Bombyx mori: one gene and its partner. The protein of the gene in region 2 purifies or fractionates together with the protein of the main gene of each other region. This does not show direct contact. Links are inferred from orthologs where the notes say so. Each region holds a gene or a part of one and is shown on either strand. Other genes may lie near its edges. The genes, in order: putative pre-mRNA-splicing factor ATP-dependent RNA helicase PRP1 and cap-specific mRNA (nucleoside-2'-O-)-methyltransferase 1.

What was found.
Region 1: the proteins of cap-specific mRNA (nucleoside-2'-O-)-methyltransferase 1 (region 2) and putative pre-mRNA-splicing factor ATP-dependent RNA helicase PRP1 purify together in Homo sapiens (co-immunoprecipitation; 3 studies listed by BioGRID and IntAct, with this or other methods). This does not show direct contact. The link is inferred for Bombyx mori from reciprocal best matches to the Homo sapiens genes CMTR1 and DHX15.

Annotation. Positions count from the first base shown.
Region 1 is NC_085130.1:9,705,785-9,709,620, reverse strand, and holds part of putative pre-mRNA-splicing factor ATP-dependent RNA helicase PRP1, read right to left. Parts: coding exon 3,086-3,836; intron 2,192-3,085; coding exon 2,055-2,191; intron 924-2,054; coding exon 786-923; intron 1-785.
Region 2 is NC_085114.1:10,493,926-10,497,761, forward strand, and holds part of cap-specific mRNA (nucleoside-2'-O-)-methyltransferase 1, read right to left. Parts: intron 2,732-3,836; coding exon 2,506-2,731; intron 2,416-2,505; coding exon 2,301-2,415; intron 2,193-2,300; coding exon 1,949-2,192; intron 1,873-1,948; coding exon 1,772-1,872; intron 1,152-1,771; coding exon 1,036-1,151; intron 11-1,035; coding exon 1-10. UniProt on the Homo sapiens protein: S-adenosyl-L-methionine-dependent methyltransferase that mediates mRNA cap1 2'-O-ribose methylation to the 5'-cap structure of mRNAs.

The DNA of each region.
Region 1 (3,836 bases), on a different chromosome or scaffold from region 2:
CAAATGTCATCGTTAAAACTTCCTTCATTGGGTTTGAAACAGGCCCCTAGTTTTATGACAAATGTGGTGAGGAAGCGTCAGTGCTGGGAGGGGTCACTCAACTCCGCACTCTTCAACAATTTTTTGTCTCATGCTCCATCGATGAGCCATGTAACCATTACTTATACAATATCGTATCAAACAAATTATTTCTATGAGCTTATGGTGCATTCAGCTACATGATGCTTGTCTTATTTGCAATTGTAATCGCATCATCCTTATTCGATATATTGTAGTTTCAGCATTTTGACCTAGTTGCCCAGTATATTCTCCAAGTTAAAAGTCTGTAGATATTGAGGCTACCCCCAGTTCAGGAGTTGGACAATTTATTAAAATTAATTTCTATTAAAACAAACTAGTGAAGTGTGGCTTGTGATTTTTTCTTTAAATAAACAGACAGTATCGTATACCCAACAAGAAATCACTTAAAGCAAGTCAAATACTATCTGGGTTTTTTTTCCTACCTAAGCTGAGACCCTTGAGAGGCTATTTCAGTGTAACCTTAACTAGTAGGTGAGCTCACGGGGCTCAAACCTGACGTCGTTGCTAACACGAACCCTAGCAAGAGCCGTGCTTCGCAGAATCTACCACCGGATTGAAAACGCGACCCACTGAGAAGATCCGGCGAGAAACTCAGTGGGCTGTGTCTGTGGGTTAATTTACTCGTCGAGCCCTTCGTCGCAAGCGACGGGTTCGACGAGAACGATGACCACGCTATCTGTAAGCACAGATATGGAACATCCTACCTGACAGCATGGCAGTGATGGAGAGGATCTCGTTGGAACAGTTGTGATTGCAGCTGGCTATCAGCATCTTGGCCAGCTGTGGGTCGAGGGGGAACTCCGCCATCACAGCACCCAGGTCAGTGAGGTTACCGTCATCATCTGTGGAGAATCAAATGACAAATGAACATCATGAATAATAACCCATCTGTCTCGACTGGTGTTAGGTCGTCTTGTGAGCTCACGCGAGTAGATACCACGACCATGACTATTTCTGCCGTGAAGCAGTAATGTGTTCCGGTTCGAAGGCAGCCATTGTACTGTAAAACGTATACTCAGAACTCATGTCTCAATGTAGATGGCGAAATTTACGTTATTGATGGCTGAGGGCTCTGGTAGCCACTTAACATCAGGTGGGTGATAGACGCCCACAGATTTAAGCAAAAAAACTTAATTCATGGCAGGCCATGCAGAGCCTGCATAGGTCTGTCCTCACTGCATACATCTATAAATCCATTGAATGGTCAAAATTCCATTACATTTCTGTCTTTTGTTTTGTTATTGTCATTTCTTCATGAAGTAAGTAAGGCTAAGTATTTCCAACTTTTATTTATTACTAACAGTATCCTTACGAAAGCTTAAGAAAAACCACAAAAAGAATAGACAAATGGTATATTATGATTGTTTTGTCTTTGCCTTTTTTAGTGACGTTACAATTAGACATGCCACGAATATTCGGTAGTCGGCCTATTCGGCCACTTTGTTTGGTATTCGGTATTGGGCCAAATAATAGGTACTATTCGGCCCAATACCGAAAAATGAAGGGCAGGTCTCAAATCATGTTTCGTCAAAAAACTCGAATAATGATTTTTGTTTATTATTTTCATTACAAATCTCATAATATTCCCATATGGCCGATTTTTTATTAATTGGTGTCATTTTTTAATGAACAACAATTGAAAAAGAACTGACGATAAAAGTTTTCTACAAAATCGTAATGTTTCATTTATATTGATCTGACAAAGCGTGCCGTGACGTGATTTACTCGCAACTGAAACAGTCTAATGGCCGGACACCGCCCGCACACGATGGAGACAGGTCCCAACCGGTCATATTATTCTTTACGCGCTCGACTAACTAGCATGTACTTTGTGCCGAATATTCGGCGCTTCCGCCAACAGCGTTGCCGAATATTCGGTATTCGGCCAAATCACTATTCGTGGCAACTCTAGTTACAATAATCCATGAACGCTTCTAAAGTAATTTCAAAAACAATATACAGCACAAGCTCACCCAGCGCAGCCAGATAGTTGAGCAGCTCGAGCGCCCGCATGAGTGTCTCCGGAGCCGGTGGATCCATGAAATCGAAATGCACCAGGTCATCGATGCCCAACTTCTTCAACTGCAAAACTACAGATCCTAAGTTTGATCTGGAACGGGCAACGCAGTCGTATTATTAGATTACAACTCACTTCATTACCCGAACAGGACAAACTTAAAGGGGGTGTGATTTTAGCATATTGACATGACAGTAACAGTACTCTTAGACTTCACCCATTCAATAGCTGAGATATTTAGGGTGTTAGCTTCTAGAACTATGTTAGTGTAATTCGCTGTGTAAGAGTCAGATAAAGTCAGGAAAAAATTCTCAATTTTTCTCGTTTCATACCAAATTCCATACATTTTTCTGGTTCCATTGAAAGTGATTCTTAGGCTTTTTAGTTGTTTTGGAATTTGTTAAATATCAACTATACCATTACGTCGTTTTGGCAATTCATAAAATACTATATTTTGAACAGTTTCATGAAAAAAAAAATTTTTTTTTTGTGGGTATGCGTTTGGTCTGATTCTTATACCGCGAATTGTAACCCATTCAAAATTATATTAGAGTAGAGAAACATTGTCGTGCTCTGCCCACTACACCGACTTGTATGAAAATATATTCTAGAAACTATATATAGCCTATATAGCTAGCTTGTTGTTTCTATGACGTAAACCTATTTTGGAAAAAATATCCAAGATTCGTCACAATTAATGATTTTATAGCACATACATTTTTATTTGGACTACTAAACAACAAGTAAACTTTATACACAATTGACAGTAATATAAAGTGATGATTCTCAGCAATTGACAGTGACCACACCCAATCAGACAGAAATAATGATGCACATGAAAAGCTATAAAATATAGACAAACAGAGCTTATCTTGTTATTATATAAGAATAATAATTGAACATTACAACTGTTAGTATAGAAATAAATACAGTATTTACTCACTACATTCGAAACGGTAGTCACATACAAACCGTTATAAAAATTACCTCAAAATCTCAGGATAAGTATTGTCCTGCATTTCATCCTTGTATGCTTTCTCAGTATATAACCGGAAGCACTTCCCAGGTCTAGTTCTGCCGGCCCTCCCCGCTCTCTGTTGGGCTGATGCTTTACTTATCGGAGAAACCAATAACGATTCCACCCTTATACGGGGATTATAAACTTTTTGTTTCGCAAAACCTGGGTCAATGACAAAAACAACACCATCAATAGTCAGAGATGTTTCAGCGATGTTTGTGGACACTACCACCTTCCTGCCGATGGCTCCGTTTGGTCGATTTGGAGGTGCCGGCTCAAAGATCCGTTGCTGTAAATTTGGCGGCAATGTTGAATATAACGGTATGCACTTTAGCTCTCCTGCATCAGTTCCCAGATTGTCTATTTCTCTTTTAATTCTCTTACAAGCATCCTCAATCTCCTCTTGTCCAGTTAAAAATAGTAGTATATCACCAGAGATCTCTTCACACATATGGATTTGTATTACAGTCCTTATCGCAGCTTCTAGGTAATCTCGTTCAGGTTGTGGAGTGTAAAATATTTCTACCGGATGAGTCCGACCAGGAATGTTCATTAATGGAGCATTGTCAAAATAATGCTGGAACTTTCCAGCATCTAATGTGGCTGACATAATAACGAGTTTCAAATCGGACCTCTGTTTTATGACTTCTTTGAGAACACCCATCAGGATATCTGTTGCAAGTGTCCTTTCGTGGGCTTCATCGAGGAGTATAACTCTAT
Region 2 (3,836 bases):
TTGGTTTATCCTGAAAAATCATATCATTAGGTGTGTACCTGTTCAAATATTATAAGAAACTTCTAAAACCCTTGTGTTCCTGGAACACGCCTATTGGAAGTCTAAAGAAAGTAGAAAAATAAATAAACTAGGTATAAAATAGTAATAATGACTTATCGTTTTTGTAAATTAATATTTCGTGAATAGTATTTACTCCGGTTTGCAGTTCACGTGCAACATTTTAATAGTTGTTGTAAAAAATGAAATGTTTGTAAAAATCCAAAATTGGGTGTTTGGTTACCTCGGAAACGAACAATTATTACAATTACAAGAAAATTGTGCTAAAATAAATATACTACATGAATCAACTATAGAATTATTTTGTCCGTGCAGTTTGGGTCATAAAACATAGCTCGGCTAGGGCGGTGAGCATGTTGCGCGGGCGCAACGCCATTATCGATAAAAAAAATGAGTATCGAAGGCAGGTACACGGCGGCGGGGTGGTACACGAAGGGTGATGAGACATTGTTAAGTTATGAGTCATTTGTTGTACCTACCTGCAAATTATAGTACGTCGAAGAGAAATGTGATTTTGTGCATTCGCTCTCTGAATCTCTGAATCTGCTTGCACAAGCAAGTGTTATTATCAATAATGTGTTAAAAATTTTCACTGAAATGAGAATGGATCTCGAAAAGTTACAAAGTGTTAATTTCTGCCGTTCTCGTTAACTTGCTGCGACGATATGTGGTGTAACGGTTCGATTAGTGATTTTTTCTTTCATTTTTATCACTAACCCACAAAATGACAAAACTAAATACACTATCGATAGCGTTTATCGACAACAATAATGCGCATTACTATGCCCGTCCATAAGACTCGTGAGTGAAAGAGAGCGAAATACTCGCTTCACCGCTCCGATTTTTTATGACCCAAACTGCACGGACAAAATAATTCTACTATAGATATTTGCTTAATTATTGTGCATATATTTATATATATAAGAACGCGATTAAATTCGCATGAATGTGCATGTGTGTGTATAATCAAATACTAACCTTTCATTCAAGGGGTATCCAGAGATATCAACTCCTCCCAACATAAGTGCGTCCACAATATGTAAAGATTTGCTGTACATCTGATTGTTGCCTTGGCCACGATATTCTTTAACAATCTATAACAGCGAAAGTTAGCATTTTTATGGCTGTAATAATAATAAACCCCCAGGTTAGTGATAGTAAGAAAAGACGATATTACTATTTTCTCCAACATGGAATTTGATGTGAAGGCAACGATTGTGAGTGAGGCAGACCTTTTAAGATAAGGAGGCATATCGAACTTCATGAAATACTTTTGCAAAATTGTTGAAAACAAAATAAAACAGAATAGGGTTTATTTCTTCTTTTATATAAAAAAAAACTGTTTAAAAAAAATAGTTAACATAATTAAATATTTACTGATTGATTACGGTATTCTTAAATGTATTTTTTATATAATTAGTCTTCGCTCAGTGATCAAATTTCCACCTTAGAATCGAAGATATTAAAGATTCAGATTAGTTATATGTATTAAAATATCGCTTTTAATTTGTTATTGACATTTCATAAAAAAAACAATGGTTTGTTAATATGTTACATAATCGTGATGCAGACAAATACAAAACCAAACTAATAAAAAATCGTGGTAAACATCAAAAATTAATGAATTGGAGTCCGATGTACCTGAGTACAAAGATTTCTTTTAGAATTTAGTATAGATAGATGAATAGGTAATGGCAACTCATTTAAAACATACTTCTCCGTAAACCAATGTTTTAGCTGGTAGTGTTATTTGCAAATCTAAAACGCTTCTCCATCCGCTTGATTCTAGTTGAAAAACTTGTTTTCCACCGCAACCTGTACATGAAATACAATCTAATAAGTTCGGAACACTACTTTAAATTGGTAAAGAAATTGTACAAAATTAATTTACCTATGAATATTTTTAAATCGGGACTATTTTTACCGCCGCTCAGGAACATGAAGTGCCAGTCGTATACATTCTTGAAATTTGTCAAATCACCTTCCACCTCTATGTATTCAGGTTTCTTGTTTAATATATTCGTTTTGAAATTGAACAGACTGTGAGGATTGGGTGTTTTTAATGTGGACAAAATGTTTTTTAATGTTTCATCGGGATTGAGGCGTTTTGGTTGAGTTCTGACTTGATCTGGCAACTGTAACCGAAACGGATTCTTTATATTTATCCTCGCTCGTTAAAACCCAAATAACTTAGGGAAACTGTAAACTCATCATTTGTACGGTCGAGAATTTGAAGCACTTACATTCCAGAGTTGCAAGCACTGTTCTTTCATTTCAGCTTGATAAATTTCTTTCAAAATTTTGTGTTTGCTAAATGCAGCTATCTTAAGTAAATTTTGTATTTGCCTTTCGCCGAGACTAAAAATAAGTTGGATCGGGTTAATTGAACAAAGTTCAGACAAATAAATTCAATATTGGAATATTACGACATCTAATTATTATACTAACATGCAGTTACTCTTGTAAACGTATTCGAAAAATTCAGTATCTTCCTGTATGATGTCAATAGGAACTAGTTCTAAAATATCAATATCACTGTTAGTACTGTTCCATAGGATCGAGTTCACAGTGTAAAGGTGATGTTCTGCTGACTCGGTCCATGACCTCTTCCACAGACAAATCAGGTACCTCTCAGAATTTGCAGGTCTGGAAGTCACTGGTTTATGAATACAAACTAAAACATAAACATATTCATTTATTAATGTACGCCAACATAGACAACGGAAACCGCCAATAACATCAGAGAATTCATATTTAATTTATCTATCACACATGCTTTAAGTATATTACTAGTAAACTTTTTGTTTTCTTTAATTCAATAAATTCATAATTTCTTTAACTTAAAAAAAAATCATGCATACACGCAATATAATAAGATACTCGCTTGAGTGACACGGTTCCCGAGGGGTTGTGCGATGTGGTTTTGGTACGATGGTTAAAATGTAGCTACATGACATCACTTGTTAAATTATTTCTATTTAATTCTTTTCAAAACCCGTTCATCACACTAAAATTTAATGATCTATTGTGGCCGATCAGCTGACTGCCCTCTCCAAGAAAAATAGCTATCTACGTTAATAGTTAATATCGTGCGATTCTCTCGTACCCGCATATGTACCTACATGTGCGGTTACACACATGTGACGTCACCAAATTCCCGACCCAAAGCTCAGGGACCGTCTCATTGAAGTGGCAATACAACGTTATTTTTAGTAAATACGAAACCCGAGCCCGGTTTTCTTTAACTTGGTACTTTTCAATAAAGTAGCAACGGCTACTGCTATAAATGGGTTGCACAAGTTACTAAAAATGTCGTAGGTTAGATTTTAATCTCTTAGCATCTATGTAGATGTTATTTATTTGGTCTCTAGCCCAAAAACAACATGGTTCAGTATTTTGTGGAGTCATAAACTCGTGAAGCAACCAACATTAATTATTGTTTCGTATTGGCGTAGAATGTTGCGGCGGAATATTTCGTTAGGTGACGTCAAGAACGTGTTTTGGAGGTCTTTTCGTTGGATTGAATTAGAATTAATAACTGATTATATACTGGTATTTCGTTGAGTAGTAATGAAATTTTTAAGCTGTCATAATAAGGGAACAATACGTGAATCATTTCAACCTTAGTGACACTCTATGAGTTTTCTTTATATTGAATTATTTTCGTATCGATTTTTCTTCTAAATACGTTGAGCTGTTCCGGTGTGAGCGGGGATGCACATTAAAAATCATCTACTTTTGGGTATTCATGTAAAAATAACGTTGCACACAAAAATATA